Coturnix japonica: one gene and its partner. The protein of the gene in region 2 purifies or fractionates together with the protein of the main gene of each other region. This does not show direct contact. Links are inferred from orthologs where the notes say so. Each region holds a gene or a part of one and is shown on either strand. Other genes may lie near its edges.

Region 1 (3,747 bases), on a different chromosome or scaffold from region 2:
GCGGTGGAAAACTTTGGTCCGGTTTGGATGGCACTCAGAGTAAGCATTATTTATGTTCTTTACTTTCTTTTTGCTTTGTCTCTCCTCTTTACGATAGATGGTAAATTCCGGGCACTGAAGATGGAGTTCTCCCTTCCGCCATCCACTTACGCCACTATGGCGATCCGAGAAGTTCTGAAGATGGACACAAGCATTAAAAACCAAACGCAGCTGAACACTACCTGGTTACGCTGAGTGAACTGCTGGCACGGCCTAGATTTTAACATGTACAAAGTGTTTTCCTACTTACGTTCTGTACAAATCTTTGAAGGGTGGCAGTGAGAGATTTGTATTTTTTAAGTTTTTATTAGTGCAAGCAGTTAAATTAAGTAGTTATTAGCAAGATGCCGGTTGTAATGTAATACGGGCCTTAGTGACTGGTGCTTTGTAACGAATGGACCATGAGGTCGCTTGAGCTGTGTTGCTGCATCTCTGAGAAGCAGGCTTATGGCTTCTGACCTGGGCACATGTTCGTCTCGCTCTGTTTCAGCGAGCAGTGAATGTTTTTATCAGTTCAGCACACCTTGAGATCTCTATATTAAAGTACAGCATTAGGAAAATTAGAGCTGAGTGAAGGTACTGATGGCTGTTTGCTTCCAAGAAGCTGCTGCGGTCAGCCGGGCTGGCTGTGTGCTGCCACAGGGCACAGCTGTTTTAATTAAACACGAGCTTCTTCCGGGGAAAATGTGTGCATTTTCAGCTTCACCAAGACAAGGTACTGGGAATAGTTAACCAAACACAACGGTGTGTCAGTCCGTAGCGCCTCGCTCTGTCCCTGGCTGAGCCAGCCTGCTGCTGGGAGGCAGAACGAAGCTGCATTTTAAACGATTCTAAACCAAATAGGGAATTCGTGCTGCTTGTGTGAATAAAACGCCGTGAACGGAAGGTGCTCCCGGCTCTGTGCTCCCTGAGGTGGGGTTATGGGGGAGCTGTGTGGAAGGGGCGGGCGCGGCCATGGGGGTGGCTGAGGGGGAGGCGGGTGCGCATGCGCCTCTGGGCCCGCCCCGGCTGTGATGTGTGCGGCCTTGGGCCGCGCTGTGCTGACGCGGCGGGGCGGGGAGCGAGGGGCTGCGGGGCCGGCGGTTTGATATTGCTATTAAAGGCCTCGTTTTAAAGGCCGGCATGGCTATTAAAGGCCTCGTTTAATGTTCAGGTGAAGAGGAATCGCCCTGCGTTCCCAGGAGCCCCGTGTCCTCAGTAGGTCGGTAGTTGGTCGTGTTCCCTTAGTGGTAACCAAGTAGAAATTACGTAAATAACATTGCGGAAAAAAAGAAGGCATGGCAGCCGTTAATGTGCCGAAGAAAGAAGTCGTCAGAGATCCGGATCGCTGCGATATCCCGTACTACGTTTCAGAATTTGTGGAAAGAGAAGTTGGGAATGACTATGATTCTCTGAAGAAGCTGGGCAGCCTCATTGAGAAGCTGTCTGAAAACAAGAGGCAGCTGGAAGAACAGGTAAGTGTCTGTGCTCATTCTCCGTGTGATTTTTCTGTGTGAGGCTTAATGCATGTCTGTAAATGCAGGTTCTCACGGTTTCATCCGAAGTCCCTAAAAGAATTCAGAACGCCTTAAAGAATGCAGAGGACTCAAAACAATCTCTGAATCGGCTTCTAGAGGAAGAAACTCTCCTGTCCGATTCCATCAGCAGCCACTTAGAGAAAGCTGAGCCGTGGATGGAGGATCTCGGGGTGCTGATCAGCCAGGTGGAGGAGATTGAGCATCACCTGGCCTATCTGAAATGGATTTCCCAAATAGAAGAGTTAAGGTAAAGCCGATGTACTTATGGAGAGTTCTTACTAGTGGTATCACACAGCTTCTTCAAAGATTCAGTGTTAAATAATCACATTTAAGGAATAAACGAGAGCAGCAAGTTGTCATCTGGCCATATAAACTGTTAACGTGTTCTCTGGTGAGAACTGGAAGTTATTGCTCTGGCTTAAGGAAGAGAACAGTAACTGTGTCGATATGTGGATGGAACTCTTTCACCCACTGTAAATTATGGTGTAAGAACTAAAATAATACTGGAATATCTTGAGCGGAAATGTTACGCTTCAGACTTCGTGATTCTGAGTTTTCATTCTGGTACACTGATTTTATCGTAATGGGAATGAACAGTGCTGTTTTAGTTAATGTGATTTGTAGCTTCCTTCAGTGGAAAACTTTGTGTAATGCTTGTAAAGAATGTCAGAAATTGGAAGATTCCTTTGGGTCAGATTTTGTACAGAGAGACTTAAGTTATGAAACAACTTGGTCTGAGCTATGAAAATGTGACAGGTGTGCTGCAGTCTGAAATTTGCTTCCAGTTTTCCTCCTGGGAAGCGTGAGGAAAAGCAGATCTTTGAACAAGTTCCATAAAGAGCAGTGCTTCAAAGAACTTCGGGCCTCCCTTCTTTCCTTCTGCCTTCAGGTCTCGGTGACAGGCAACTTAAGGAACTTCACACAAAGAACTTGTTTCGTGAATCCTTGCTGTAGGATGTATGTGATGGGAGTGGTAACCTCGTTAAAGTATTTCAGATTGAGCATGTTTTCTGCCAGTTTCTCAATATGATGGTTCTTTTGTGTTATCTTTAGTGAATTTTTGTCTCAACTCTTCTTGTATTTATGTTCTTGTGTTCATAGTGATAACATTCAGCAGTATCTGATGACCAACAATGTTCCGGAGGCAGCCAGTACTCTAGCGTCTATGGCAGAACTGGATATTAAACTTCAGGAGTCATCTTGTTCTCATCTTCTTTCGTTTGTGAGATCCACTGTTAAATTTTGGCATAAAATTCTTAAGGACAAGTTGTCAAGGTACAGGACGACTCATCACTCCCTCATTTCATGTTGTGCCGTAGCTTGGTGGTAAAGTGTGTGTTTTGTGTTGCAGTGACTTTGAAGAAGTGCTGACCCAGCTTCGTTGGCCATTTGTGGGGCCACCGCAGTCTCAGGCGTTTGGCCTTACTGCGCCAGCCAACGCTTCTGATGTTTACAACAATTTAGAGGTTTTGTTCTGCCAGCTTCTGAAATTGCAAACATCGTATCCTTTAAAAGTGTAAAGAAAATTGCCTTGGGGGTGTTGGTTGGTGCTTAGCTAAACATGAGCCAGCAGTGCACCCAGGTGGCCAAGAAGGCCAATGGCATCCTGGCTTGTGTAAGAAATAGTGTTGCCAGCAGGAGCAGGGAAGTGATTGTACCCCTGTACTCAGCTCTGGTGAGGCTGCACGTTGAGTACTTTGTTCAGTTTTGGGCCATTCACCACAAGAAAAACACTGAAGCCTTGGAGTGTGTCCAGAGAAGGGCAACAAATCTGTTGAGGTGTCTGGAGCGCAAGTCTTGTGAGAAATGGCTGAGGGAAGTGAGATTGTTCTGTCTGGAGAAGAAGAGGCTCGGGGGAGACTTCAGCTCTCTCTACAACTGCTTGAATGGAGATTGGTGTAACTGGTGATAGGGTGAGGGAACTGTCTCAAGTTGTGCCGGGGGAGATTGAGGTTGAATATTAGGAACAATTTTTTCTCTGAAAGAGTGGTCAGGCATGGGAATGAGCTGCCCAGGGAGGTGGTGGAGTCACTGTCCATGGAGGTATTCAAGAAACATTCAGGTGTTGTACTAAGGGACGTGGGTTAGTGGAAGAATATTGGTGGTAGGTGGGTGGTTGGACTGGATGATCTTGGGAATCTTTCAACCTTGGTGATTCTGTGGTTCTATTCTGCGATCCTGATCTGCCTTT
Region 2 (3,747 bases):
GTACAACTCTGACAGAACAACACGCACTTCACCCAAATGGGAACGTATCTGTGATTTAAGGTCATTGGGAAAGGCAGTCCCAAGGCACGGAGCATCAAAATAAGGAATTCTGACTTACTTCCGCTTCCTTACATTCAGCTCCTCAGAATCTGGAACAAAAATAAATGCTGTTTTAGCATATTACTCAACACTGCACAATCACAGGCTGATAAAACAAGTTCCTTGAAAGATTTTCTTTCCCAGAGATGTAATCCCAGTTGGCCTGGTTCTACACCAGGGAACGTGGATTTCAAACGTCTGTTTTCCACCAGGAAAAGACAGTACATAACAGCAAACGTTTGGTTGGGAGAATAAAACACCTGAGATGAATCACTTCCCTGAGGGCTCGGCTTCGCCCATGGGCTGTGCTGTTCTCTTCCAGGACACTCAGACTGGCCTCATTCCAGCCACTGTTACAGTAGCTATGGAAACCACAAATTAAATCCTACCAGTTCCCTACGTGAATAACGTGGCTGTATGTTAGCTCCTGAGATCACACGGTTTGCTCACAGCAGAAGAGAACGTTGGCAATGACAAACACAAACCCTCCTTGCTAATGCTACAATTGAAACACCTGTTTCAGCATGAATTCCTGCAAGTCTCCTCTGCTGTACAGGTAACACTGCTCATGTTCTCACCTATTCAGTGTTTCTTTTATATCTTATATCTTATATCTTGACAAGAAGTGAGTCAGTAATTTAGAAATACACCTCTAACACCTGACTTTCCTCTTTCTTTACTCATAAAATTCAGGTCAATTAAAGAAAAGGAGATTGAACTTACCACTGAGAGCCAAGGGATCCTGGGAGGCAGGAAGAGAAACAAAAGAAAAGATTACAAAGGGCCAGTGAAAAGGTTCATGAGGAACAATCACATGGAATCACAGATTCAAGGGCCTCCATGCACAGTATGGCACCTGTGCCCAGTATTTAGGTTATCCATAGGAAAAACAAAAGGTGACTCCACCCCCAGCCTAGGATGTACCTGAGGCACAGCCACCAAAGGCAACCAAATGTCATAAGAGACCATCTATAAAGTAATAGTAGAGAAGCAGCAGCACCAGAACATACTGTACCAAGCAGCTCACTCCTCATCTTGCCTGTGCAACGAGCCTTGGTCTGCAGATGAACCGTTTTGGAAGCTGGGGTTCTCTCCTTGATCGTAGTAGGAGTACGCCCAGGGGCTAAGAACTGATTTGCCAGTGCCTTTTCAGTTGATGAAGACTGTAAGTAAGAAGAACCAACGAGAAAGAGTCACAAACATCATTCAGTAGCGTAAGGCCACCTGGATGTATGGCCAATGAGGATTTAGGGAGCACTTCCACAGCTGCTGGAATGGCTGTGGAATTTTGCAAACTACAGCTTGGAGAAGGAAGGAAGAAGTTTCAGACTTCACACAATACCCTCTTTCAACAAAATACAATATATTTATTCACTCTTGTCGAGAATTGCCTGATAAGATTTTAACAAGTGTTATCTTGGGATGTAAGATAAAAGCAAGCGTAGGAACAAGGCAACAAGGAGAGTTTAAGAGGAGAATATCTCTTAAGTTTTTCCAAGGTAAACTAACATATCTTACCAGTTTTTCAGCTTCCAGAAGTCCCTTTAGAAAGTCTACTTTACGTGTGTATTCATTGAGCAGTTCTGGGGCAGGCTTGCTATTAGAATTGGGAAAAAAAAACATGTGAAAAGCAGTAAAGCATTACCAATTTCCATTGTTTAGAAAAGTCTTCAAATCAAATTAATCAACGTGGGCTTTTTCAAGAAAGAAATAGACTCAAGTTGGGAGCATACCTGCACCCCCTCAAACCACCTTGCCGAGGCACTGTGACTGCAGCAGCTCAGGACACAGCCAAGCAGAGGAACACTGTGCAGAGCCGAGGCTGACAAGGAGAATGAAGCGTGTATGTGAACATGGCACAGCTGTGCAACTGCCTGATGCACTCGGGTCAGTGCAACCCCAGATACGTGAACAGACTGGGTGAAGAACGCTCTAACAGCGGCCCTACCGAGGAGCTGTGGGTGCTGGTAGATGACAAACTGAATGCAGACCAGCAGTGTGTGCTTACAGCCTGAAGGGCCAACGGCATCTTGGGCTGCATCAATGGGGGATGGGAGGGGTGGCTCAGGGCATGGAGGGAATTGTCTCCCACTGCTCTGCTCCTGTGAGGCCCCATTTGGAGGACTGTATCCTCCAGCACAGGAAAGACATGTAACTTCTGGAATACATCCACAGGAGGGCCACGGTGACACCAGAGAGCACAAAGTATGGTGAAGGAAGTAAGGCTCTGAGGAAACCTCACTGTGGCCTCCCAGTACTTAAAGTGAGGCTGCAGACAGTGTCAGGACAAGGGGGAATGGTTTTAAAACCATCAGAACTCCAAGATATCACACAGGGAGGTTTTTATACTAATAGGGCAGTGAGGCCCCAACGCCACGATGTGATCCTGGCAGCCCTCACCTGCACTGCTTCTTCAGCTCCCGCAGCATGTCCTCCAGGGCGGCCACGTACTGAGAGAGAAAGGAGAGAGAGAGAAAGGAGTCAGCATTGCGGATAGATATTAATATTAATCCCGGCAGAAGCCGCAGCACGGCTGACAGCGCAATGGGGTTTAACGCCCTGACACCGGGCTACCTCTGTTTATTCCGAGGAGCAGAATGATGCTGCTGAAGGCCGAGGGCTGTTCCCGGCCAGTCCCTCCCCAACACAAGGCCGGGCCGCCCCTCACCTTCTCCAGCCGCCACTCCTCGGGATCCCGCCGCTCCGCCGCCAGCGCCTCGCACCGGCTCAGCAGCCGGATCAGATTCAGCTCCAGCCGCGTCGCCGCCATTGCGAACAGCCGGCACCGGAAGCCACCTCAGCACCGCTTCCGGGCGGCGCCATCTTAGGGCGGGGCGGGAGGTGATGGAGACGCTCGGCCGTTGTAGGCGGGGCTCCCCACACAGCACAGATACAGGCAGATAATAAACGTCGATAAATAGACACAAACTTTGGTGTATTTTTTTAAAAAGTGCAATGTATTAATGAACATTTTTGTACATTTGGTCTCAGTTAAGGCTATTACAACACGAACAGTTCTGTAAACCGCACAAAGTCGTCATAAAAACATACAAAATTAAGGCAACGTACACTGACCCACACTCACTGTTGGTCCCATTAAAGTCCACTGTAAGGCAAATGGAAGAAGGCACGGCAGCAGAAACGGGACGCTATTTTTTCTTTACCTGTACATTCATGAATAAGTTCACAGCCTTCAAAGCCTTAAAAATCTAAAGTCAACTTCAGAAAGATCCAGACAGCTTCAGTATTTCACTTCTCCGTACACACAAGGTGGGAATAAGGGTCTGAAAACCTCCGTTTTACTTTTGCTGTTGGTTCATATTCATCTAAAAGTTCCTGAGGGTGGGTCATTGCAGACCCTTGTGCAATGTAGATAGAGTGGACTTTATCAGTTCGTATTGCTGGCTGCTCCCTTCGTCTCACCACTATTGGAGACTCTTCATCAGCTGAAGCCTTGCCCTGAGATTCGGTACATTTGAAAATCCCAGGAGGAAGTTTGATGTTTGCTGTTGGCATCACTGGAGTTCGACGGGGCACCTTAATCTTGGACAGTGTAAAAGACAATCTGCGTCTTGAAGCCAGGGATGCAGACAAAGAACTTGAAGAGGTTTGCAAAAGAGAAGGCACTGTGCAAATGTCTTTGGCAGG

Evidence for each region. The genes of interacting proteins can lie anywhere in the genome.
Region 1: the proteins of USE1 (region 2) and RINT1 purify together in Homo sapiens (co-immunoprecipitation; 3 studies listed by BioGRID and IntAct, counting the BioPlex papers as one, with this or other methods). This does not show direct contact. The link is inferred for Coturnix japonica from reciprocal best matches to the Homo sapiens genes USE1 and RINT1.

What each region holds. Positions count from the first base shown.
Region 1 is NC_029516.1:12,589,345-12,593,091, forward strand, and holds the start of RINT1 (RAD50-interacting protein 1), read left to right. Parts: upstream 1-1,155; 5' UTR 1,156-1,316; coding exon 1,317-1,493; intron 1,494-1,561; coding exon 1,562-1,803; intron 1,804-2,657; coding exon 2,658-2,831; intron 2,832-2,907; coding exon 2,908-3,057; intron 3,058-3,747. Other genes in the region: PUS7 (pseudouridylate synthase 7 homolog), read left to right, coding at 98-234. UniProt on the Homo sapiens protein: Involved in regulation of membrane traffic between the Golgi and the endoplasmic reticulum (ER); the function is proposed to depend on its association in the NRZ complex which is believed to play a role in SNARE assembly at the ER.
Region 2 is NC_029543.1:3,207,461-3,211,207, forward strand, and holds the start of USE1 (vesicle transport protein USE1), read right to left. Parts: upstream 2,924-3,747; 5' UTR 2,870-2,923; coding exon 2,768-2,869; intron 2,550-2,767; coding exon 2,500-2,549; intron 1,697-2,499; coding exon 1,618-1,696; intron 1,263-1,617; coding exon 1,110-1,262; intron 842-1,109; coding exon 823-841; intron 150-822; coding exon 119-149; intron 1-118. Other genes in the region: MYO9B (unconventional myosin-IXb), read right to left, coding at 3,349-3,747.